Saccharomyces cerevisiae S288C: one gene and its partners. The gene in region 1 interacts genetically with each later gene. Each region holds a gene or a part of one and is shown on either strand. Other genes may lie near its edges.

Region 1 (4,707 bases):
AATAAGAAAAATAAGATCCATTTGCGGAACGCTGCCTAAGGCACTCGGTAAATCGTCACTTAGCTGATCATCGAGTAACGTAATTTTCCTTACAGGAGTTGATTGAGTCAAATCTTGGAAAGTTAGCAAACTATTGAGTACTGGCAATACACTTGGTTGAACCACAAGAACTTCATCATTTTGAGATATCTCATTTAAGGTAGCACATAGTCCATCGGCATTTGTTAATGAAAATTTCTTAGTATTCCAAAATCTATTCATCGTGAAATGATTTGATAAAGTTGGAGATGGGCAATATCAGCTTTTTCTTCCTTTCTCGAATTTTCTATCTTTTAACTAATTAACATATAACTAGTTCCAATTTGCTAACCTTTATGATATTTTATTTATGTATGTTCGTGTGAAGTGATTAATATATTATACAAAATGACCGGAGTTCAGTATAATTTCTATCTACTATTATTGAGCACACAAAGGAAAAGAATTGACTATGAACAAGCTTACGAAGATGAACCGCTTCTTAGAGCAAACTCTTCATAATAAGAGAGCATTTCTGGAGTAATGCCCCTAGCAATTCCTTTAAAAGCTTTCTCAAAATGACGTAATTCCACTTTTGCGACATCTAAATCTTCCATTATGGCAGCCAAGCCCGCTTCTTGACAAAGCAGCACAACTTCAGCTCCGGAATAACCTTCTGTACGGTCTGCCAATTCATGAAGATCGACTCCAGACTCTTCTGTATTAAATTTCTTTGTGCACTTCTTTAAGATTTCCAAGCGGGCGTTTACGTCTGGAGGGCCAACGTAAATGTGTCTATCTAACCTACCAGGCCTTAGAAGAGCAGCATCTATTTCATCAGGTCTATTCGTCGCCGCTACAATAACTACACCCTTTAACTCTTCAACACCATCAATCTCATTGAGTAAAGATGTGAGCACGTGATTAGCTGCAGAGGTGGAACTCCCGTCTCTATCAGGAGATAATGCATCGATTTCATCAAAGAAGATAATACTTGGAGCTGCAGAGCGTGCTTTGCGGAAAATTTCTCTTATAGCTCTTTCGGATTCCCCTACATACTTGTTAAAAATTTCAGGCCCTTTCACAGCTAAGAAGTTGATACCCGATTCTGTAGCGAGAGCTTTTGCGGTTAATGTCTTGGAGCAACCTGGCGGCCCGTAAAGTAATACACCTTTTGGTGCAGAAATTCCCAGCCTGGCAAAAGTCTCCGAAGCCTCCAAAGGCAACTGTATCATTTCTTTCATCTTTGTTTTAAGCTCTTCTTGGCCGCCAATGTCAGACCAATAAACTTTTGGCATTTCTAAGAAGATTTCTCTCATTGCGCTGGGTCTGATATCAACCATGGCGCTCTCCACATCTTTCAATGTAACTTTTAGGGAAAACTTGTCAATATTGGCGTCTGTTCCTAGTCCTCGTTGTATCGTCTTCATAACTGATTCTCTGCAGAGAGCAGTTAAATCAGCACCAACATAGCCATGCGTTTTAGAAGCAATGTACTTGATCGCTTCAGAATCTAATACGTGACGATCCGAGGACATTCTTGAGAATTGCTTAGTTAAAATGTCAAATCTGGCATCAACGTCTGGTATACCAATTTCTACTTCTTGGTCAAACCTGCCAGGTCTCCTGAGAGCAGGGTCGACAGAATTAGGCCTGTTTGTAGCAGCAATTACCACCACTTTACCTGCAGCGCCCATGCCATCCATTAGGGTAAGCAATGTAGCCACGACTCTGCTCTCAACTTCACCGGAGTCATCGTTTGCTCTATTTGGTGCTATTGAATCAATTTCGTCAATGAAAATAATGGAAGGCTGGTACTTCCTTGCTTCATTAAAAATATCTCTTAATGCCGCTTCCGTTTCACCAAGATATTTGGAGACGATTGAGGGGCCATTAATGGTTAGGACGTGTGCGTTGGACGTATTTGCTACAACTCTCAAAAGCATAGTTTTACCAGTACCTGGGGGTCCGTGAAGAAGTATACCTCGAGGGGGAGAAACACCAAAGCTACTAAATAGCGTCGGTTGATGAAGAGGTATTTCAATAGCACTTTTCAGTGATTCAATCTCCTTGTCTAAGCCGCCCACTGCTGCATAGGATAAGGGCTCCGGAAGATTGTATTTACGATTTGCCTGGGTTTCTTTCGAAAAAGTTATATGTGTGGAGCCTTTTCTGAATATAAAAGGTGGAGATAGATAAAACAGGTTATCTAATCCACCGTACATATCGTCCATGTTAAGATCTAGTTGGCTGACGTCGGGAAGCGAATCATCGCTCGCATCTGTAATTACGACATCAATGCTTTCATCACCTGCTTTTGTTTTTAAGTTTTGAAAAATCATTCCAGGCATTATAACGCCACTATCATCCAGTAGCTTTTGAATTACTTTTTCCTCCATACATTCCAAAATATTATATCCTTGTAAGGACCCCACGGTAACCTTAGTGGCATAAGGTGGTTGCACCTGGGCTTTCTTTAATTCTAGACGATCACCAAGGATAAGGTTCCCAACAGATCGTATAGTTGTGGAAAGGGTGATAACATTAACAGGATGTACTTCTTCATCACCCGCTCTAGCTATTACTAAAATACCATTTTCGCCTATCTTACCGACAGTACAAAATGATCCCGGATTTATCTCAAGCGAGGATAATACGTTAGGATGAATATATGCTGTGCATGTTTCCTTGCCATGATCTTTAGAAGGATGTGGTCTGGTAATAAATTCAGCAGGCAATTTAAATTTGGATGCTTTTGCATCAGCACTATTAGAACTTGCCGATGATTTCTTTTTGGAACCGGAAGAACTAGATTTAGGAGCCATTTTCCTTTCTATGATTGGGCAATTTTGAGAATGGGCAATGTTGAGAATTCAATTGTATATTGTTCGCATATTAGTTTATGTGATGAGGCAATATAAAATTTTCTTACAATAGTCCGCCCGTTGCTTACATGAAAGAAAAAAAAAATAAAGATGGATCGAAGTGGACTTAAAAACTATGTATACGTGTGTGTGTGTGTGTGCAATAAGAGTTCGAAAACATTAACTTTTATAAACATGACTCACATTGAGAATAAATGAGCTCTCTATAAATACAAACTTGCGGCGAAAACAATATCTCTCTTAATCAACTCTTGAGCCCTGCTCATCTTCATATGTAATGTGGAATTACCAATAATAATAGAGGCAGTCTTAACTTCGCGGCAAATTTCGTCTAGCCAAGTGATAACTCTGACTACAGTACCTTCAGCCTCGGGGCTCATTTCCATGATTTCTTTGAATGATAAACCACGGGCCCACTCATACACCACATTCATCATGGCAAACCTTTTTCTGTCCAAAAACTCAGCTTCATCCTGAGTTAATGGAATCTGATGCGTATTGAAAACACAAAGCATTTTCTTGTAAATTTCCTCAATTCTTTGTTTACCCTTTGCTAGCCTTGGTGTGACAATAGGAGGCTCCTCTTCCCTGGTTTTCCCCTCATAAACAAATACTGATAATAAGGCTACAATCTCTTCAGGTTCAAAGCTTCCTAAAAAGTTGTCTAAAATTAATTCAGTTAAAACTAACTCATAACCAGAATTAATTTCACATGCCACTCTACCTTTTAACAGCACGTTGTGGTTTTGGTCGATAAATTCAGTGTCTTTCAGAACAGCCAATCTCTTTTCATAATCGGGTAGTAAGCTCAGATTTTGGTCAGACATCAAATGGTACAATTCTTCAATTTTCTTTTTAATTACATGCGCCTTAAACTTGGGAACAATGTGTTGGCTTAGGTTGGGACATTTAATGCTTTTTAGTTTGAATATCTCATCCCTTATATTTGTACGGTCTAACAATATTTGGTGAATTTTTAAACCTTGCTTTTCAATGTTAATTGCTTCTTTTAGCGTTTTGCCGTCCAAAATGTTATTTGTTTCAGCGTTAAACTCGTTCAAAGCGGCAACATCCTTTTTAATCACTTTTCCCAAGGGTGCGGCAAACTTGCGTTTAGTGATCACTTCAATAGCCGTCACAGGAACTTCTTCCATATAAAAATCAGTCTTCTGGAATTTAGGGAAGTTCCTTCTTCTGTATCCATCCGCTTTTGGAAAGTATATTAAATGATTTGGCTCACCATTTGGGAGTTTGTATGGTTTTGTGAACGTCATAATGACACAAACAGCATCCTTCAGAGAAACTTTAAATACAAATCCTAATTTCAAGCAATCATTGGGGTCCCTAAAAGCAACGAGTCTGCCCTCTTTCAAGATATGCAATATCGAAGGCGATTTAACCATTTCTTGCATTAGGTTGACTGTTGCCTCCTTATATGCCAGCATCAATTCCAAAAACTTTTCGATATCATTATCACAGATTTCACAACTTTTGTACTCTATGGTTTGTAATTCCTCTTGTAATACTTTGATTTGTTTTTCATGTTCAGGTTGTAAAGTTTCTTTGGCATTCTCACTAAAAGAATACTTGATCATTTCTTCAACTCTCAACGCCTCAATTCTTAAAAGATTTAATATCATATTGTATGTTAATCTAAACTGAGACTGCAACCTCGTCGGAACACCCATCGTTACTTCTTTGAACGTAGCAATAGATAAAGGACTATTATATGCCATCACAATGACTGTACCAGTGGAATCCAAGCCCCTTCTACCAGCTCTACCAGCCATTTGGGTAAACTCAC
Region 2 (7,441 bases), 780 kb from region 1:
TGAATAATCTGTGATGAATGACTTTATCTGTGTCTAATATATCAAGCAAAGGATCACCGTATCGAGAGACACTAGCCGTGAAGACTACAACCTCGAATAATTTTCCGACTCTTTCCAAAAATTCTTCCACACCAGGTCTTTTAATGACATAGACATTGTGTACTTGGTCATCTATTTCCACAGACAAAACAAAATCCGCAGATCGTAAGTATTTGAAAGAAGAGTGTACCAAGGTTTCATCCAGGTCCAGTATTAGGCATTTCTTGCCCTTTGTACTTTCATCTTGTGGGGGGAGCAGAGTGTTGTAACCTGGTGCATGATACTGGCCCTGCTGCAAAAGCGTTAGATCAATATATTCTTCATCTTCATCGTCTTCGTCGTCGGCATCGTTGGAAGTTTCACTGGCTTGAGAGCTGCTACTTACCCTACTCAAATTCATATCTTGGATAAGATGGTCAGACGATACTTGTACAGTAGGCCCTCGCTGCTGCGACTGCGACTGCGACTGTGACTGTGACTGTGACTGGGGTTGTGGTTGTGGTTGTGACTGTTGTTGTTGTTGCTGCTGTTGTTTTTTCTGCCTGGAAGTATCTTTCACAGCATCTCCTTTTTCCTGTACAATGCCACGACTGCGACGGTTATCTTCATCGTCGATCTCTTCATCTTCGTCAACCTCGTATTTTTCCTCGTAAAGATCATCTTTACTAATTCGCTTCTCTACTTTTGTCATATTATTAGTAGTAGTGGCGGTGACGGCTGCAGTCGGCGACGATGGCTTCTTTTTTTCATTATCGTTCGTGCTTATCCCAGATTTACCGGTGGATCGTTCAGTGGAACTGAAAGTAGCGGCTGAATTTGTCTTAGAAGGAGGAGAGTTTGTCTGATGTACGCCACGGGTTCGGCTTTTCGTGTTGGAATGTTTAACGCTTCTGTTTTTATTGAGAGAACTGCTCTGTTGTTGGCGATAAGCAGAATTGGAATTGGATTGTGTCGTCTCGGAAGAGCAGCACAGTATTGACGATATGAAACCCATACTGTTTTGCTACTTATTGTTGTTAAAGCTTACGAACACGAATGTAGGCAAATAAAAAGCTTGGATAAACGCACAATGAAAGGGGAAGTGCGATTGATTATGCTATAAGGAATGACACGAAGAGAGCAGACTATAGGCTAGGCAGGCGATAAAGGAAGGAGTTGTACTTGACGACAACGTAATAAAGAGTTCAATGAAAGAGTATTGTGAGCAGTATGGTTCAACGAGCACTTCTTCTCGACACCTATTTCTATACTTTTTCACTTAATATACACTAACTAATCCCAGACTTTTTTTTTTTTCCGTTCTTTCCAGAAAAAAAAGAAACAAAGCAAGCGTGCCCTGACTTAGGGTTTCCTAAAAAAGTTATTAGGTTTGTGTCACGTGATACGTCCTTTTCTGGTCACGTGGTCTTAGAACACTCTTAAGGGGCCAAGCACAAGAGGACAGTGCTAGCAGTAGAAGTGGTGTAGTAGTGATGAGGTAATGTTAATTGTGCATCGCACATATTTACAGGTAGTATATACTATAGTTTGTGAATACCTATTCTTATATATACAAGAAATGGTTGTCGGCAGACTGTCAGTAAGACTAATTTGCACTTGGAACTTCGAAGCCATAACCCTTCATGCACTCTTTGTACTTTTCAATGAATTCCTTGCATTTTTCAGAGTCTTGTCCATTGAATAAGATGCATGTATCCCGCTCCTCCTTTTCTGGCTTACAAACGCAACATGGCTTAGGTTTGTCCTCGCACTCCGCGTGGTTTTCTTGTTCTTGTTTCTTGTCAGTTTCAGTCATTGGGTATAATTGATTGTGTAGTTATCTGATTGTGTACACTAAAATTTTGTTTAGTTGTACTAGAGACAAGTAGTTAGGTGGTTACTAGATTCTGATTCGCCGCTATATATCGTCATTTTATCTTTTTTTGAAGGAGATAGGTAGGGTTATAACATTATCCGGGTAATGATTTGAAAAAAAATTTTCAAAAAATGCGATGAGATGAGGTTGAAAATTGTAAGTTAGAATATGCTTAGATAGTATGAGTATTTACGTTGGTAACTTGGGTTTCGAATTGGAGCTGTGTGCCTACAACAGCGTCTTATATATATACTATGGTGGTAGGAACTAAAAAATACTCTAATTTGGACTTTGTCCCTACAATCAGTGACAGTGAAGACGATGTTCCAATTCTAGATTCTTCTGATGACGAAAAAGTCGAGGCTAAGAAGACTACGAAGAAGCGGAAGGGTAAGAATAACAAGAAAAAGGTTAGTGAGGGGGATAACCTCGATGAGGATGTTCATGAGGACTTGGACGCGGGGTTTAAGTTTGATTTGGACGCCGATGATACCACTTCGAACTTCCAAGGCTGGAACTTTCTAGCAGAGGGCGAGTCCAATAAGGACGATGCCGAAGCTTTTGTGAAGAAGGACGTTGACTTGGATAAGATTATTAGAAGAAAAGGTGGGCTGGTGAAAATGGCCCATATTGATAGTAAACAAGAAGAAGAAACCGAGAAAGAAAAAGTAGAAAAAGAAAACGATAGCGACGATGAGGAATTAGCAATGGACGGGTTCGGTATGGGAGCTCCCATGAACAATGGAGACGAAAATCAGTCAGAAGAAGAAGAAGAAGAGGAGGAAAAGGAAGAGGAAGAGGAGGAAGAGGAGGAACAAGAAGAGATGACGTTAGAAAAAGGCGGCAAAGATGACGAAATAGATGAAGAAGACGATTCTGAAGAGGCAAAAGCCGATTTCTATGCGCCTGAAACTGAGGGAGATGAAGCTAAAAAGCAAATGTACGAAAATTTCAACAGTTTGTCTTTATCTCGTCCGGTTCTTAAGGGCCTTGCAAGTTTGGGTTACGTCAAGCCTTCCCCTATTCAAAGCGCCACAATCCCCATTGCCTTATTGGGTAAAGACATCATTGCCGGTGCTGTGACTGGTTCCGGTAAGACTGCTGCGTTTATGATTCCCATAATCGAGCGTTTGTTGTATAAACCAGCCAAAATCGCTTCCACCAGAGTTATTGTTCTATTGCCCACTCGTGAGTTAGCTATCCAAGTCGCTGACGTTGGTAAACAAATTGCACGTTTCGTCTCCGGTATAACCTTTGGTCTGGCCGTTGGTGGTTTGAACTTGAGACAACAAGAACAAATGTTGAAATCTCGTCCGGACATCGTCATTGCTACCCCAGGTAGATTCATTGATCATATCAGGAACTCAGCAAGTTTTAATGTGGACTCAGTAGAGATTCTGGTTATGGATGAAGCCGATAGAATGTTAGAAGAAGGTTTTCAAGATGAACTGAACGAAATTATGGGCCTATTACCAAGCAATAGACAGAACCTATTGTTTTCTGCTACAATGAACTCCAAAATTAAAAGTTTAGTTAGTCTTTCTCTAAAAAAACCAGTAAGGATTATGATTGATCCTCCAAAGAAAGCTGCTACTAAGTTGACACAAGAATTCGTTCGTATTCGTAAAAGAGACCATTTGAAGCCTGCCTTGTTATTTAATTTGATTAGGAAATTGGATCCAACGGGTCAAAAGAGGATTGTCGTTTTTGTGGCTAGAAAAGAAACTGCTCATAGGTTAAGGATTATCATGGGTCTTTTAGGTATGAGTGTGGGTGAATTACACGGTTCTTTAACCCAAGAACAGCGTTTAGATTCCGTTAATAAATTCAAAAATTTGGAAGTTCCTGTACTTATCTGTACGGATTTGGCCTCCAGAGGTCTTGATATCCCCAAGATTGAGGTTGTTATCAACTACGATATGCCCAAGAGTTATGAGATCTACCTGCATAGAGTTGGTCGTACCGCCAGAGCTGGTAGGGAAGGTCGTTCCGTCACCTTCGTCGGTGAATCATCTCAAGATAGAAGTATTGTACGTGCTGCTATAAAGAGTGTAGAAGAAAATAAGTCCCTAACTCAAGGTAAAGCACTTGGTAGAAACGTAGACTGGGTTCAAATCGAAGAAACAAACAAACTTGTTGAATCCATGAACGATACGATTGAAGATATTCTGGTGGAAGAAAAGGAGGAGAAGGAAATATTAAGGGCTGAAATGCAATTAAGAAAGGGTGAAAATATGTTGAAGCATAAAAAGGAAATCCAGGCAAGACCAAGAAGGACATGGTTCCAAAGCGAATCAGATAAGAAAAATTCCAAAGTATTAGGTGCTTTATCAAGGAACAAGAAAGTCACTAACAGCAAAAAGAGAAAGCGTGAAGAAGCTAAGGCAGATGGCAATGGTGCACGTTCTTATAGAAAAACCAAAACCGACCGTATTGCAGATCAAGAAAGAACTTTTAAAAAGCAGAAGAGTACAAATTCAAATAAGAAGAAGGGCTTCAAAAGCCGTAGGTAATAATTTTCATCGTCATTATCATAAAATATCAACATACTTATCACTGTCATTATATTATTAATACTTTGTATTTAAATATCATTAATTCATCTAATAAACAGGGGATTAGTCAAAAATTCCTTTTTTTTTGTTGAATCTGTAGAAGTGAGTATTAATAAACTGCAAGCTATATGCTATATTAAAAGGATTTTTCAAGTACAAACGAACTGAATGGAGACTCAAGCTACTTGCGGGAAAGAATTACAAAATTACATTCCATTCTAGTAAAAAAAAGTTATAAATAAAAAAAAATCGTCTGACGACAAATTTGTATCTTAATCAAAATAAAAATTTTGGGTTACTTTCTTTAACGTTTCCAAGTTATAAAATTCTTCATCTTCGTCCTCGTCGCTTGGTTCAGGTGGAGGCACTATGATGTCCTGACGAACGTTCAAATTTATCATCTGAACATTTTTCCTCAAATCAAATAAAGTGTCTATTTGTTCTTTCGTGTCTTCTGATATATCTTCATGCTGGAATGGAGATATCAATTTCAATCCGTCTAGCCATATATATCTTCCCTCTTCTGTGTCTAAATAAAATTTCAAAACTGTCCTGTCGTTACGATCTTTTAATTCAACTCCAGTGTACACATTGGCTTCATCTAATTTGATGTAAACATTACTGCTCGTCCGACGACTCGGTGTAGTAAGTTCTATGCTTTTGAAAGAGGTTATATGTTTCAAAACAACAACTTTTGTTCTGCCATTAGCTAATGCCTCAGAACCTGGACTTGTTAAAATTTTATTGTCGAATAGATAAGGTAAATCGTTTGTTTGTGTTTCGAATTCTCTGGCTAATAAATTTGCGTGGTTATCTGAAACTATGAGGAAGTAGACTTTAGGCGTGCCAGCTTCAGGATTCAGTGGGTTCTCTGCGTAAACCCACGTTCCCTTTTGCAATTGAAGAAGTCTTTGATGACGAACGTAATCACGAACCTGGCCTGATAGCATGGTATCGAAGCTAGCGATACTAGATGACCAGGTTCGATACTGTTCTTTTTTGATTGAGTCTAATTGTAATGTTCTTGCAAATTTATATCTCATAGAGTCAAGTGCAACAACTTGGGTCTTGAGAAGGGATTTCGTCTGTATTGCTGCTTCCAAATCACTGGATGACAAACAAACATATTTTAAAGTGATAATAGCTAAATTTAACAGTGAAACCAAATCACTTTGCGATTTTGCTAATGATTCTATCCAAAATCTCAAAAACAACTCGAGTGTTTTGTAAAAACATGTTTGTCGATTGAGAACAGCGGTAGCAATTTGTAATTTTAAATCACGCTCTGAGTCTGAGTATTGGTTCTCTTTTTTCCCACTTAGATTGAAAAGTCTTCTAAATTGGTCTGAAAGTTTAAATATTGCTTCATAAAGAGGGAAATCGTTCTCGCCAAACAACAATTGTTCAGTGTAAAGTCTCTTGAAAGACCCATTAGGACTGTTTAAGAATGTGAATGTATCATACGCATTTAATAAATTTATACTGGGAAGATCGCCCATTTCCATTTCTAACCCTTTTTGGAATACGGAGTTATCTTTGATGGCTGTAAGAAGATCAGCTTTAAGCGAACAGGAATAATCATCAATACTAACCGAAGATAGAAAATTTATTAGCCTCTGCTTTAACGGTACAAATTCTTCAAGGATTAGTGGTTGCAAGTCTTCTATGTAAAGTAATTCAGACATGGAAGCTGGAAAGTTATACTGAAATAGCAAAATGAGGATTCTGGGTACAAATTCTACGGCGTGTGATAGTGATGTCTCACATAATGTAAGTGAGCATTTTAAAAATAGGGTTATGCATAGTATAGTGTCCGTAAACAACGGTATATGAATAGGTCTTTGGGACAAAAGTTGTAAAAGTATTCCAATGAGCTGAGAGTTCTCTCTGGAGATGTGGCAGATGCTCACAATAACTTCATTCTTATTAGAATCTTGGCATTTAAGGGCTACATTAAAAATCCTAATGAGATTTGCTACCAACGTTTCTGACCTTAGCTTTTGGCAATTATCACACAATATAGCCCAAAATCGGGAATCTGGAATTACGGTTTTACATAGGTATTTTTCATCACAAAGGAGGATATAGTTTGCCAATAACTTTTCGTATTCATCACTTGTCTTGTTCAAATTTTTATTACTGATCAGCGTATGATAGCAAGCTTTTGATTGTGCACTCGTAAGTGACTTGACTGGCTTTCCTAATTTAGGATTCAGTAGCACTTTTATGTTTTCCAAGCTTTCATCTGGCATCTGCCTGTTATGCTTCATTGCTTATGCCGTTATTTGAGGTTACTTTAATCTATTTTCCTACTGATGACACAATTGAGTCAATCCAACGTGGAACGGGTTGCCCTTGTATACATTTCAGTTTACTTCTTTTCATGTATTTCCTTAATAGTTTATTTTTTCACTTTCTGCCTATCCGTTTCAATTCCGAAGAACCGTCAACATCCAATAAAGATCATCTACAACAATAAGTGCCCCTCATAATTTTCTCAATGAGATGAAAGAACTTTGAGAGAGTCAATATAATACCTGTAGCCTTTTTCTGAAAATGACTGATAGTGAGAATGAATCCACCGAAACGGATTCGTTAATGACGTTTGACGATTATATAAGCAAAGAGCTACCTGAACATTTACAGAGACTAATCATGGAGAATTTGAAGGGTTCTACTACTAATGACTTAAAGCAAACTTCAAACAACTCAGAGTTTAATGTCAGTAAAAACGGGAGCTTCAAAGGTCTCGATGATGCAATTCAAGCTTTGCAAATGCAAAGCGTGTTGCATCCTTCTTCGTTAGGATCGTTAGCAACGTCCTCCAAATTTTCTGGATGGTCGTTTGCTCAAGGGTTTTTTGTAGGACAGCTAAGCATAGTGTTGTTGTTCATCTTTTTCCTAAAGTTCTTTATATTCAGTGATGAGCCATCTAAAAGTAAGAATCCGAAACCTGCAGCCTCCCGTCACAGATCAAAATTTAAAGAATATC
Region 3 (9,038 bases), on another chromosome or scaffold:
CAATGCCTCCCACTCCTAGGCCAGAAATAATTCTTCCAATGAAGTATTGGTACCACTTGTTTATGGAAGTTATTTGGATTAGGATGCCTACAACGTAAATGGCAGTAACTGTAATCAATCCAATACGACGACCATATATATCACCGACTTTTGACAAGACAATTCCGCCTATGGCGCAGCCAATGTTGAATATTGAGACGATCAAACCCATTCTTACTTTCGATAAGTAGTAGGTTCCCTTGTCATTTTTTTGACCGAACCTTCTGATGAAATCAGAAAGGTTAACAAAACCAGAAATGGTACCGGTATCCCAACCAAAGATGAAGCCGCCAAATGCAATCATCAAACACAGGATTGCGACGGTGGTATACGCAGAGAGGGGTTTTTGAGGTAAGTCAATAGGTGGCTCATTGGCATCTAGGTTAAGGGAATTTTTAGAGTCACCGTGTTCAGTCTTAACAGAGGGAGCGCCTACTGCTGAGTTAGAGTTAGACATGGTAGTAGATAACTCATTTGCGGATGTATTATTAACACCTGACATGATATTGAGTAATAACAAAAGCGTTTAGAACTAAATTGTGCAATGATTATTTTTTTCAACTCATACCAAAAAAAGAAGAAGAAAAAGATAGGAACAAGTGTGCTCTTCTCTAGTTACACAACTGTGACATTATATACCTTTAATTAGCGAAAAAGAGGAACTGAGAAAGATGAGCCTAGACCTTAAGAGCTAAGTAGTATACGGTGTGTCGAACTGCTACTGATACTTTGAACGAAGGTGTCCGAGTGTATGCATTGTTCGTGTGGTCAGCATTTATTGTGGAGGAGGCGGTTTCATCTACAATTTCCGACGCCTGATTTTCCACGGATATAATTTATTTTTTGACACCTGGAGTTTACATTTCACAAAATTTCTTTCTTTTTTAGTTTTGCACTGATTTCCCCTGAAATAAAGAAAAAAAAGAAAAAGAAGGTTTTGTGAAGTGCCAAGGGATGCACGAGAAAAGCACTTATAACTCGCACGGAGAAATGATTATGTAATTTTCGCGGAGAAATGATTATGTAATTCCGCGGAGAAATGGTTATGTAATTTTTGTGGGGAACTGAACAAGGTCAGTTTACGCTTCGTACTTTGTCGTGGGACTACGTATACGCAAGATTGCGGAGGCAGTGCAATAATGGGGTCTGCTTGCAGATGGTATGATCTGCTATAACGGGCCAAGGGCCAGGCACGCTCTTGCAGAACATACCATGTTATATCATGTAGGTTGTGCAAACATTACCTAAAACTGAAAGCTTCGTTTACATACAGCACTCCTTCCAGATCCTAAATTTACTTTGTTCTTTTCTTATTTTCGATCATTCGTAAGACGTCCATAGGCACGTAAAAGACATATATAAGTAAGAAAGACTTCTTCACTCGAGGAATTAGCTGTACTAGAATATATGTTCCATTCACCAGTCCAAACACACAAACAAAAGTGAAAGTTTTTTCATAAAGAAAAGAAAGCAACGTACAATGACTATTTCTTCTGCACATCCAGAAACAGAACCCAAGTGGTGGAAAGAGGCCACAATCTATCAAATTTATCCCGCAAGTTTCAAAGACTCCAACAACGATGGGTGGGGTGATATGAAGGGTATTGCCTCCAAGTTGGAGTATATCAAAGAGCTTGGTGCCGATGCCATTTGGATCTCACCATTCTACGACTCGCCACAAGATGATATGGGTTACGATATTGCCAACTACGAAAAGGTCTGGCCAACCTACGGTACGAACGAGGACTGCTTTGCCTTGATCGAAAAGACACATAAGCTTGGTATGAAATTTATCACCGACTTAGTCATCAACCATTGCTCGAGCGAACATGAATGGTTCAAAGAGAGCAGATCCTCAAAAACCAATCCAAAACGTGACTGGTTCTTCTGGAGACCTCCTAAGGGTTATGACGCCGAAGGCAAGCCAATTCCTCCAAACAATTGGAGGTCTTACTTCGGTGGTTCTGCATGGACGTTCGATGAAAAGACACAAGAGTTTTACTTGCGTTTGTTTTGCTCCACCCAACCTGATTTGAATTGGGAGAATGAGGACTGTAGAAAGGCAATCTACGAAAGTGCCGTTGGATACTGGTTAGACCATGGTGTAGACGGCTTTAGAATTGATGTGGGAAGCTTGTACTCCAAGGTTGCTGGTCTACCAGACGCTCCTGTGATTGACGAAAACTCAAAGTGGCAACCCAGTGATCCTTTCACAATGAACGGACCACGTATCCATGAGTTTCATCAAGAAATGAACAAGTTCATCAGAAACAGAGTGAAGGATGGCAGAGAAATTATGACAGTTGGTGAAATGCAACATGCTACTGATGAAACCAAGAGGTTGTATACAAGTGCATCAAGACACGAACTTAGTGAGTTATTCAACTTTTCCCACACTGATGTCGGGACTTCGCCCAAGTTCCGTCAAAATTTGATCCCATATGAACTAAAGGATTGGAAGGTTGCCCTTGCTGAACTTTTCAGATACGTTAACGGAACTGATTGTTGGTCAACAATTTATCTGGAAAATCACGACCAACCTCGTTCAATTACCAGATTTGGTGACGATTCTCCTAAGAACCGTGTTATTTCTGGTAAGTTGTTGTCTGTGTTGTTGGTGTCACTGAGCGGTACTCTATATGTGTACCAAGGACAGGAACTGGGTGAAATCAATTTCAAGAACTGGCCTATCGAAAAATACGAGGATGTCGAAGTTAGAAATAACTATGATGCGATCAAGGAAGAGCATGGAGAAAACTCGAAGGAGATGAAGAGGTTTTTGGAAGCAATTGCCCTTATTTCCAGAGACCATGCTAGAACACCTATGCAATGGTCTCGTGAGGAGCCAAATGCTGGTTTTTCTGGTCCTAATGCTAAACCATGGTTTTACTTGAACGAGTCTTTCAGGGAAGGAATTAACGCTGAAGACGAATCCAAGGATCCCAACTCGGTTTTGAACTTCTGGAAGGAGGCCTTGAGATTTAGAAAGGCACACAAGGATATTACTGTATATGGATATGATTTTGAGTTTATTGATTTGGACAATAAGAAACTGTTCAGCTTCACAAAGAAATACGACAACAAAACATTGTTTGCTGCTTTGAACTTCAGCTCTGATTCGATTGACTTCACGATTCCAAACAATAGCTCGTCGTTTAAGTTGGAATTCGGAAACTACCCAAGAAGCGAAGTTGATGCGTCTTCCAGAACATTGAAGCCATGGGAGGGCAGAATTTACATATCTGAATGATTGATGATTGTGACGACAAGATTTTTATACATATACATATACTTATTTTTATCTATGTTACATACCGCACTTTAAATAGTAACGACATATATCTGGTAGTGCGGTATGAGTTATGTAATACACTAAAGTATAGTTTTGTGTAGCATTTTCCATATGTCCTTGCATTGGTATTGTATTATAATAATGCTGAGAGAAGGGTTACTCTATAGCTCATTTGGCCAGATAATACGGCGAGTTATGTGCATATAAGAACAAGTACTAGTGAAATTATATATTATTGTTTATGATCAACAGAATCATCTCTACTACACACTGCATTATGAACTGCAGCCACATTTATCTAAGGGCGGAACGTACCTATGAAATGTCTCTACTACTTTTATGAAGATACTGATTTTTAGTTTGTCACAAATTTTACGATTCTGAAAACACATATACTTTCTTTTATGTTGATAGAGCAATAACACAATGGCCATTTAAAATCTAGCCAGCAAAATATATTCACCGGTTCGTACAATCTCATTTACTATTCCCTCTGAACGTCTTGACTTTGCTCCGCCAGCAAATTTTCCAATCCAACATGCAAGTCACGAAATGACGAATGAAGGCTGTATCAATCGTTCCTAACTGAGGATGGCTGAATAAAAATGAAGGGAAATTCTACGACAGTTTTAATTAGTTAATGAAGGGGTGTGAAAAAGTTAGAAAAAAAAAAAGTCAAATTCAGGAGAATAGACAAGCCTACATTTTCTGTAGTTCAAAACTTTTTATGGTTTGACTTTGTTTTTTTTTTTTTTCGTTTTTCTTTTTTAGTTGAACTAATGGGACCCTCAAACCTAAAATTTTCCGTTTTCGTTTAATCCTCGCATCATATATACCAAATAAGGACACAGGGTTTTCAGTGAGCAAATGTAAGGGTTTCTATGGATTATAAGCCCTTCGGATCAGAAACAGGGTTCCGTAGTTTGGGCAAGAATTGCCCTTAGTCCTGAGTCAACTGCAAAAATCTGTTTAAATTATTGCACCCAAATGTGATACAAATGTATACTATTATAGAGGCTGCCACGGCTTACAATTGCACCCCTCTGTGGCTTTTGAGTGGCGAAGGGTCTATGTTTGGATAATAGAGATGACTTATTTAATTGAAATGATGGTTTGGGTCCTAGCAGAACTCTAATATAGCAAAAAAGTGCTCGTGAATGTCTCTCTGAAAATGCTGGAAACTGATCACTCTAGGAATGACAATTTAGACGATAAAAGCACTGTCTGCTACAGCGAAAAGACAGATAGCAATGTTGAGAAGTCTACCACGTCTGGCTTGCGCCGTATAGACGCTGTCAACAAGGTCTTGTCTGACTACAGCTCTTTCACAGCTTTTGGAGTTACGTTTAGTTCACTCAAGACCGCCCTACTGGTGGCTCTGTTTTTGCAGGGTTACTGTACTGGACTCGGAGGGCAGATTTCGCAATCAATACAAACCTATGCCGCTAACAGTTTTGGAAAGCATTCTCAAGTAGGATCGATCAATACCGTCAAATCAATAGTAGCCTCTGTTGTCGCAGTGCCATACGCACGTATATCTGATCGGTTTGGACGTATAGAATGCTGGATTTTTGCGCTTGTGCTCTATACTATTGGAGAAATTATTTCTGCTGCTACTCCAACGTTTTCCGGACTTTTTGCAGGTATTGTTATACAACAGTTCGGTTATTCTGGATTTCGTCTTCTTGCTACAGCACTGACTGGTGATCTGTCTGGATTGAGAGATCGTACATTTGCGATGAACATATTTCTGATTCCCGTGATTATAAACACATGGGTAAGTGGAAATATTGTTAGCTCAGTTGCTGGTAATGTTGCACCATATAAATGGCGTTGGGGCTATGGAATTTTTTGCATCATTGTGCCCATCTCCACCCTAATATTGGTCCTTCCCTATGTGTATGCTCAGTACATTTCCTGGCGCAGCGGTAAGTTACCACCATTAAAATTGAAAGAAAAAGGACAGACCCTGCGTCAAACGCTCTGGAAATTTGCGGATGACATAAACTTAATTGGAGTCATTCTTTTCACTGCTTTCTTAGTTTTAGTATTATTACCTCTCACAATAGCTGGTGGAGCCACCTCCAAATGGAGAGAGGGTCACATTATTGCAATGATTGTGGTTGGTGGCTGCTTAGGTTTTATCTTTCTAATTTGGGAATTAAAATTTGCTAAGAATCCATTTATCCCACGAGTATATCTAGGTGATCCAACCATCTACGTTGCATTGCTAATGGAATTTGTATGGCGTCTAGGTTTGCAGATTGAGTTAGAGTATTTGGTCACCGTGTTAATGGTAGCATTCGGAGAATCAACATTAAGTGCGCAGCGGATAGCTCAGCTTTACAATTTTCTACAGTCATGCACTAATATTGTTGTCGGCATTATGCTGCATTTCTATCCTCATCCGAAAGTCTTTGTAGTCGCTGGGTCGCTTCTTGGTGTCATCGGAATGGGTCTTTTGTACAAATACAGGGTGGTATATGACGGGATTTCGGGTCTTATTGGCGCTGAGATTGTGGTCGGTATAGCTGGTGGTATGATACGTTTTCCTATGTGGACGCTAGTGCACGCTTCAACCACCCACAATGAGATGGCAACTGTCACTGGGTTACTAATGTCCGTTTATCAAATCGGAGACGCAGTAGGTGCTTCCATCGCTGGTGCTATATGGACTCAGCGTCTGGCAAAGGAGTTGATACAGCGACTCGGCTCTAGTTTAGGGATGGCAATCTACAAATCACCACTCAATTATCTAAAAAAATACCCTATTGGATCAGAGGTTCGTGTTCAGATGATAGAATCCTATTCGAAGATTCAACGCTTATTGATAATTGTGTCCATTTCGTTTGCGGCTTTCAATGCTGTTCTCTGTTTTTTCTTGCGTGGCTTTACTGTAAACAAGAAGCAAAGTCTTTCCGCAGAAGAACGAGAGAAAGAGAAGCTCAAAATCAAACAACAATCATGGCTCCGTCGTGTAATTGGATATTGAGCTGGAGAGTACTAGCGATACAAATATAGTGTTAAGCTCTTTCCTGAACTAGAATTCTCTTTGAAATAATCACTGTTAATGTAAGTAGTAATCAATAATGGCGTGTAACAGTATAATATTGTTGTCTGAAATAAAAAACAACAAAAAGTTCGAATTAGTTTTATTTTATTTTTCTTTTCTAACTAAGTGAATATCCATACGTTTGTTACGTTTATTTCAGCAATATTATAGTCTTAAATGGGCTTGACAATACAAAAATCAATGAGATTATTCGCACCTGTCATTTCCCGTAGTTTTTATAAAGAAATATAAAAAAAAATGTTGCGAAGAACTTTTACTAGAGCGTAAACGAATTAAAAAAAATTAGTAGTGTAAATATAATCACCACCTGCCGTAAGCCTGCTTGAGCCCTTTATTATTTAGTTTTAGCTGTTGCTAACCTGACTTTCATACTTCTTATAATTGACGTCATAAAAAATATTCAAAGTTCGAAAGAATGAAGAAAACATTGACCGACTTAAAAGAAGCAGTAACCCCACGAAATTTTAACCAGTGCTGATTGTGCGAGAAATCGACTCCAACAGTCTCAGATCAGAGAATATATGAAATATTAGTGGCCCCATACTTATAATGGTTCGCTGATTAATGTATAACAAGCGTGAAAGTATGTATAGCTGCACGGATTGTAGATAGAGCTCATTTAATATTAGGTATTTTGCCCATGTCATTTTTGTGCAAGTCATTTTCTCCTTTGGAACTAAATTTTCTTTAAAATATCTCATATACAAAAAATCCTAACTCACAAGTTAATGTTTTCCATCATAAGTAGACGTTTATTTAAAACATGTTATTATATATTGATCCACTCTTTGCAGTGTCGTTTTCCTACAAAAATTAGATACTTAATCTTGAGGAGTGTAGAAATAAGTGAAGGCGACATAAAGATAGAGAAACAGCCATGAAATTTAGTGAAAGCTGACACTCAAGAATTAGGAATGTAATAAGATAATGAATCACAACATATAAAATGGAAAGTGAAGTAATAATACTATTCTATAGAATAATCGACGATCCTTCATGAATTGCTATATATCTGAGGAGAACTTCTAGCATATCCTGCATACCTAATATTATAGCCTTCAATAATAATGAAAATCCTAACAATTATCCAATTATTCACCAAATTCTCTATTTCAACAGTAGTATTATGGCATTGATTATATTGCAAGCTATAGATTCGATTTCATGAATTCATAACACTCTAAAAGAGAACTTCTGCAATACTCTGTACAAATAACATTATTACTTTTACTAAAAATAGATTTCCGGACACTAACTTTTGAATTCTTATCAAAGCAGTCGAATGCCGCGTCCTACGGTTTATGTATATAGATTTAAAAATACACGTTAAAGACTGTTTTCTCCATAATTCTTGTTTAATATACCTATGAACATAAGCGAGTCAATCAAACTCGGGAGTAAAATGCTTTAAGGCACGCCGCTTAACCTTTTAAAATACATGTCTGAACATTATGTAACCAAACTAAAATTGCTTTTAAATGGATCCGCGCAATATCTAAAAACATTAACTATAAAGGATAAAAATTTTGGACAAAAAATAGCAGTAGCATGTTTGCTTCCTAAGCGTTTGAAGTCAAAACCATTTTTAAAAGGGTAGAGAGGCTTAGTAAAAAATGGTTCCCTTATTTGGTTTATTTTGCATTTTTTCTCAATTGTACTCATTATGCTCCGCATATGTTGATATCACCAGCGGTTACCAAGTATTTTTCAACTTGCCAACTAATATGACAAACAATCAAATATGCTGGCTATTCCAAGCATCTTACTATGATATTTATTCTGATAAAAGTGGTAGAACACTTAGAACGGGACGGTTTGAACCCGGCGATCAGCAATCTTTGATTTATAGGGATACCTTAGTTGAGTTGGAGGCTATTACAGATTCTTATGAGTACAGTAACCTAGATCTATCGACTTATAACGGACCTGAGCCATATAATTCTGAGACTGATTATTGTACAGATATAATGGATTTGGTAATGCGTGTATATGATGAAGAAGGACATTATGTTCATCCAGTTGCGAATAACTCAACAAATGCTTGCGCTCATCCAACTCCTCCTACGTTAAACAATCTATTGATAAGTAATTATTCTGACGGAAGAAATTATAAAGAGTCTTCTATATAATGGTGTAGTAAGGATACTGGAACCCTTTTATGACACATTTAGCAGTAAGATACATTTTTGGTTGATGTGATCAAGATTTTTTAGTTTGTAGATTTATTATATAGCACTGGGACATCATTAACATCGCACTTTCGAGTTAATGTATGTATACACAACATCGAGGAACAACAGCATCTAGGGTTAATGACATTGTATTGTATACTTTCGTTGTGCTAGTGGTGGCGTGATGCAAGAAGCTGATACATACCTGAAAATGAAAGAGGACGTAGCTATACGGTGTTTGTGGACGAGTTCACATACAGTACTGAAAAAGATGAGGATGGGCTGAGATAAAGTTTGAATGATAATGAATATTATTACATCTTCTTTCATTTTATATACCGTCATTCATTATCCCATGAAATTATCAAGCCTCGCGTTTCAACCTCTACTAAAATCGTTGACTGTTTCTCAATATTTATGTCTTTCTTACGTTGTATACGATAATATACACGTACTATGGATA
Region 4 (5,315 bases), on another chromosome or scaffold:
GGCTTAAGGCATGGCAACCAATACTGTCTCCTCAAAGTGTGCTTCCGTTGTTAATATTCGTTGCATGTATATTTACTCCTATTGGTATTGGACTCATTGTAAGCGCTACTAAGGTACAAGATCTAACAATTGATTATAGTCATTGTGATACAAAAGCATCTACAACTGCTTTTGAAGATATACCAAAGAAGTACATTAAATATCACTTTAAAAGTAAAGTTGAAAATAAACCACAATGGAGGCTAACCGAAAATGAAAATGGCGAACAATCATGCGAACTGCAGTTCGAAATCCCAAACGATATCAAGAAATCCATTTTTATATATTATAAAATAACCAATTTTTATCAAAATCATCGCAGATATGTCCAATCGTTTGACACAAAGCAAATATTAGGGGAGCCTATCAAAAAAGATGATCTGGATACAAGCTGTAGTCCAATAAGAAGTAGGGAAGACAAAATAATATATCCCTGTGGGTTGATCGCTAATTCCATGTTTAATGATACATTTTCTCAGGTGTTGAGTGGTATAGATGACACAGAAGACTATAATTTAACTAACAAGCATATATCATGGAGTATTGATCGTCACAGATTTAAAACCACCAAGTATAATGCTAGCGATATTGTTCCACCGCCAAACTGGATGAAGAAGTATCCCGATGGGTATACAGATGAAAATCTTCCTGATATCCATACTTGGGAAGAGTTCCAGGTATGGATGAGGACTGCAGCCTTTCCCAAGTTTTACAAGTTGACGTTGAAAAATGAATCTGCTTCTTTACCGAAGGGTAAATATCAAATGAACATTGAGTTGAATTATCCGATTTCACTCTTTGGTGGCACAAAATCATTTGTACTGACTACAAATGGAGCTATTGGTGGTAGAAATATGTCACTAGGCGTACTGTACCTCATCGTTGCAGGGCTTTGCGCCTTATTTGGCATCATTTTTTTGGTTAAATTAATCTTCCAACCAAGAGCGATGGGTGATCACACTTATTTGAATTTTGATGATGAAGAAAACGAGGATTATGAGGATGTACACGCAGAGAATACAACATTGAGGGAAATTTTATAGAGGCCAAAAAACAAACTTTAGTGCCTGTAGGTATTTGTGTTTATAAGTAAACAAGTTTTGTTGACTTCCTGAAACGTAAACAAAAGAAAAATTGAAGTATGCCTTTTTACGCTTGGAAAATAGTGCGACAAAGAACTCCCAGGGTTTGCTATTCCCATTTAGATGATGAAATGATAGAAAAGTGGAAAACGTTTATCATGAAATCATCTATACATATACGTAAAAATGTAAACTATGTAAAAATATGTTCCCTATAAAAGTGATGCTCTTCCGGAACGTTTTCTTTTTCCCACAAATCTCGTTGAAACCTGAACCAATCTGGTAATTCAGAATCACAGGGTATCCTTATTTTGACGTTATCTTTTCCCCTTGCTTTATAATAGCCATAATCTCCATTTTCTTTTTTATTAAATGCTAATCTATACCTATGGCCAAAAATTCCTAGGTCAGAAGAGGTTTTCTTCAAATCGTCTCCTAGAACTCCACTTACTTGTAATACTTTATTATTTTTCACTTTGGTTTCGATTTGATTTATTAATGTCAAAAGCCGCTGAGGCACTTCTGGCTCTCTGCAAAGGTCATCTTCATTTACTCTAATAAGTTTGCCAGAATTGGCCTTATACTCTATCGAATGCGTCCTATTATTCTCAAGGGGCAATTTTTTTGCTTTGTTGTCCACAATTGTCTTATTATCCTTCTCCTGTTCTATCTCAATGTTAATTATTTCTAGAAATGTTTCCGCAAAATAATTTCTATTCTTACCAGAAAATAATCTGTACTCATTTATGATTGATGCAATATTCCATTTCTGAATTTTTCGAAGTATACCAATGACCAACGCGGTCTTATCTACCAATAAAACATTATAATTATCCACATTCAATAATGTTTTGAAAGTTCTTTTTAAACACGTGCTCTTAATCAGCATTAAGTCATCATTGTCAGTCAAGTGGTAAGCCAATTCCTCCTGAATTACAGGATCCCCTGTAGTAGAATTTTGTGACCCATTTGCAGTGGATTTTTTCTTTTCTTCCTGTAATGATAGAGTACTGTTATTATTCGAATATAAATTTGCGTTAGATACAGAAGAGCTTTTTACCGGAACTGCCGCAGCCGAGAAATCAGACATCCTTAAAACAATCCATTTTATGGATGATCTTGTGAAAAAATCTTTGAAAAACTTGGATGGTTCTTGACCTCCAATAAATATAGCTGTCTTTAAATTGAGAGTTTCCAGAAAGGATAAATTTAATGTCTCCACTTTAGAACATCTATATATTCCTTCTTCAGCAATCCCAAAGTTAGCAGGTGGAACCAGCATTATGAATTCAGGTTATGGATCGCACCAGTGCTGTAAGTGTCTCTCTTTTTATTCTACGATCTCCATATAACAACCACATCTCATTTCTTTACCTTACTGTCCATTTAATGCTAGAAAACTTCCGAATATTGTATTATTATTACCCGGATATGTCAAGGCGGTATATTAAGATGTTCCTTTCAAAAGTTTCATTATACCGCATACGGTAAGGACAGCCATAAGTAGTTTTACTGATAAAATATGGGGCTAAAGAACTGTATATTTATGGATAGCACTAAAAGTAAAGATTTTCCCCGTGTCCTGACTTGGAGAAACAAAATTTCATTGTCATAAAAAACTTTTAAAATATGATATTCAAAGCTTGAGCATTGGGCTTCTGGATGACAGTTCTAATCAAGTTGGGTCTAAGGATATTGCATGTATACAAAGGATTCTTTCGGAAAGTAATCCTGAAATATTTTTTTTTTTCGTCTGAACATACGAAAGTAAATAAAAAAAGTTCAATGCATGCCTTCCTATGCAAGATTTATAAAAGGTGAACAGGTCAGGAGCAGCCACATCTCAATAAAGGCAGTTAAAGACGGTGATGTAGGTGCAGAAAGAGAAAGTGAACAAAGGATGATTTGAGATGTGTAATGATTCGTTTGAGCAGCAACAACTGCTAAGATATTCATACTAATAGGCCACTTCACACATTATGCCTTGGAGAATATCCTGCATTGCTCCTTTTATAGTATAGTCTATTCAGCACTAACAAGCAAAGCGAACATAATGGTAAAACTAACTTCAACTGTTGCTGGTGTCGCCTGCATCGCTGGCCCTCCCCTCCACTACGGCCATTTTAGCACAACTTGAATGAGTCAACTTGGTTGAGTTGCATGTTAACGTCTCTGATATCAGAGCTCACTTGCTCAATAATACATGTTACAAACTGCCCACTAAATTGAACACTCTAACATTATATTGACCTGAATTATTTGAAACGAAGTCAACAGAATGATCACTGATTTTCCAATGTACTCCGCTATGTTGAAGCTAGCCATCTTAAGCGATCAATGACGGTGCTCAATCATTCTTCGAAATGGGCTAAAAATGACAGTTGAAATATATTCTTTACGTTCATTTTTTTTCATACTGCAAACCCATTCTAGAACCAATGGTAAAAGTGACGGGAGTTGCTTTCTTTTACTATTTCAATGATAGCTATAGCCTGCATACACACAAAAGAATGTAAGTGATTGCGTGAAAGCTTAAAGTCTTAAAACTGTATTTTTTTCAACTCCTCCCATATATTAAACTGGTCCTCACAGTTCGCAGGATAACTAACAATTAAAAAAATTGTTCATATGGTTGTATTTCTTTCCGTCTCACATTATTAAAATTCAACGAAGAAGTTTCTACAATAACAGACAAGGGCCTACGATTACTATGTACTGGAAGGTGAGTCTTGAATTCATCCTCAGAGATTGTTCTAAAGACCAACAGAAATCCATATAGATTACCGTAGTTACTCTGATGGAATTTCAGAGTAAGACCCTTGTCAACTTCATCACTTTAAGTTGAGATGTAGAAAGACACTTTTGTAAGGTCTCCAACAAGTATATTTGATAAATAGACTGTTGAGCTACAAAAACTCAATGTGAAGTAAAAGACCTCATAAATGATCGATTATCTGTTTGGCAGGTACTAATAAAACTGCATTGGTGTCTTTTTTCACTTACGTTAAAAAAAACTTTTTGCAATGATTTAAGCGTGCGTGAAGATAACACTACAATCCATTTTAAAGCAACATCCACATTGAGTGTATACACCACAAAGGTTTTTTCAGGGCGTTTTTCTCGCCACTTTATGTTGACCAAAATTATTAATGGAACTTACAACGTTTCCAAAAGTTAGTTAAATACATACGTCTATTTACTAAGCAAGAAATATATCATGACAAGCCCAAATATTATATTGTTATGTTTACAAAAAAAAAATGGCTATATACATCAAGTCTGGAGGCTTTTTATAACAAGCAAGTGGGGTAACTTAGACATAAGATTGACTTCTTTGAATTCAACAAAAATACATACTTTTGATGATTTCAATGGTAGAAGCAGTAGTAACTATGCCGATGAAATAAAATCCTGATATCATCTATATAGTAGTACTCACGTTACTAGTATATCATCTATAAGATGTAGGAAAATGTCATAAGAAATGAGAAACAGTCATTAAATTTAATGGAAACGAAATGCAAGGATTGGTGATGAGATAAGATAATGAAACATAGAAAACGAAAGGAGAAATAACAGTAGTATTATTATTATTATTATTATGTAGAAATATTGACTCTCTCTTGTAGATTCATATATCTTCAAGGGGAACTTCTTGTACATTTTGTATACCTATATTATAGCGTTTAACAACAATGGAATCCCAACAATTACCAAAATTTTCACACATTCCTCATATAAAATCTAAGCAATGACTAGAGAACTATCGCTAAATTATATAGAGCAAGGAAACCGAATAATTACATGTGTCAGATAAGAAAAAAATAAAGAAAACAACGCGTCATGAAAAAGAGTTACTGAACCTTCAGATCCTACTTATTGTAATGCTTCGCGACATCCAATCCATTTAATAATCAATTTAAAACTAGAGTTGGTAGAGTTCCTTGTTGAACGTGATAACCCAAAAGCATAATACGAGTAATGTTTCAGTATTGCTATTATATGTTTACACAAGGAAAACATATAATAACAAACCTCTAATCCGGTAGTACTTAAGAAACTATAGTTTCTATGTACAAAAAGGTAACTATGTAATTCTTACATTTACATAACATATAGAAGGGTCCAATAAACTTACTAAACTTACTACCTTGTTGTATATAGGCTAGATCGTAATCCACTACGTCAACATAA

Evidence for each region.
Region 2: mutations in AFG2 (region 1) and YLL006W-A together harm fitness more than expected from each alone (negative genetic interaction), as found in Saccharomyces cerevisiae (one large-scale study listed by BioGRID).
Region 3: mutations in AFG2 (region 1) and ENB1 together harm fitness more than expected from each alone (negative genetic interaction), as found in Saccharomyces cerevisiae (one large-scale study listed by BioGRID).
Region 4: mutations in AFG2 (region 1) and OCA4 together harm fitness more than expected from each alone (negative genetic interaction), as found in Saccharomyces cerevisiae (one large-scale study listed by BioGRID).

The regions. Positions count from the first base shown.
Region 1 is NC_001144.5:912,050-916,756, forward strand, and holds AFG2 (AAA family ATPase AFG2), read right to left. Parts: upstream 2,844-4,707; coding exon 501-2,843; downstream 1-500. Other genes in the region: tethering complex ATP-binding subunit VPS33, read right to left, coding at 1-261; SKI complex RNA helicase subunit SKI2, read right to left, coding at 3,107-4,707. UniProt on the Saccharomyces cerevisiae protein: ATP-dependent chaperone which uses the energy provided by ATP hydrolysis to generate mechanical force to disassemble protein complexes.
Region 2 is NC_001144.5:129,581-137,021, forward strand, and holds YLL006W-A (uncharacterized protein), read left to right. Parts: upstream 1-6,764; coding exon 6,765-6,941; downstream 6,942-7,441. Other genes in the region: PSR1 (phosphatase), read right to left, coding at 1-1,033; copper metallochaperone COX17, read right to left, coding at 1,625-1,834; DRS1 (putative ATP-dependent RNA helicase), read left to right, coding at 2,149-4,407; LMO1 (Lmo1p), read right to left, coding at 4,722-6,719; ERMES complex subunit MMM1, read left to right, coding at 7,006-7,441.
Region 3 is NC_001147.6:16,776-25,813, reverse strand, and holds ENB1 (Enb1p), read left to right. Parts: upstream 1-4,502; coding exon 4,503-6,323; downstream 6,324-9,038. Other genes in the region: hexose transporter HXT11, read right to left, coding at 1-541; oligo-1,6-glucosidase IMA2, read left to right, coding at 1,520-3,289; CSS3 (Css3p), read left to right, coding at 8,018-8,533.
Region 4 is NC_001135.5:286,856-292,170, forward strand, and holds OCA4 (Oca4p), read right to left. Parts: upstream 2,404-5,315; coding exon 1,315-2,403; downstream 1-1,314. Other genes in the region: aminophospholipid translocase regulatory protein CDC50, read left to right, coding at 1-1,082; YCR095W-A (uncharacterized protein), read left to right, coding at 2,784-2,942.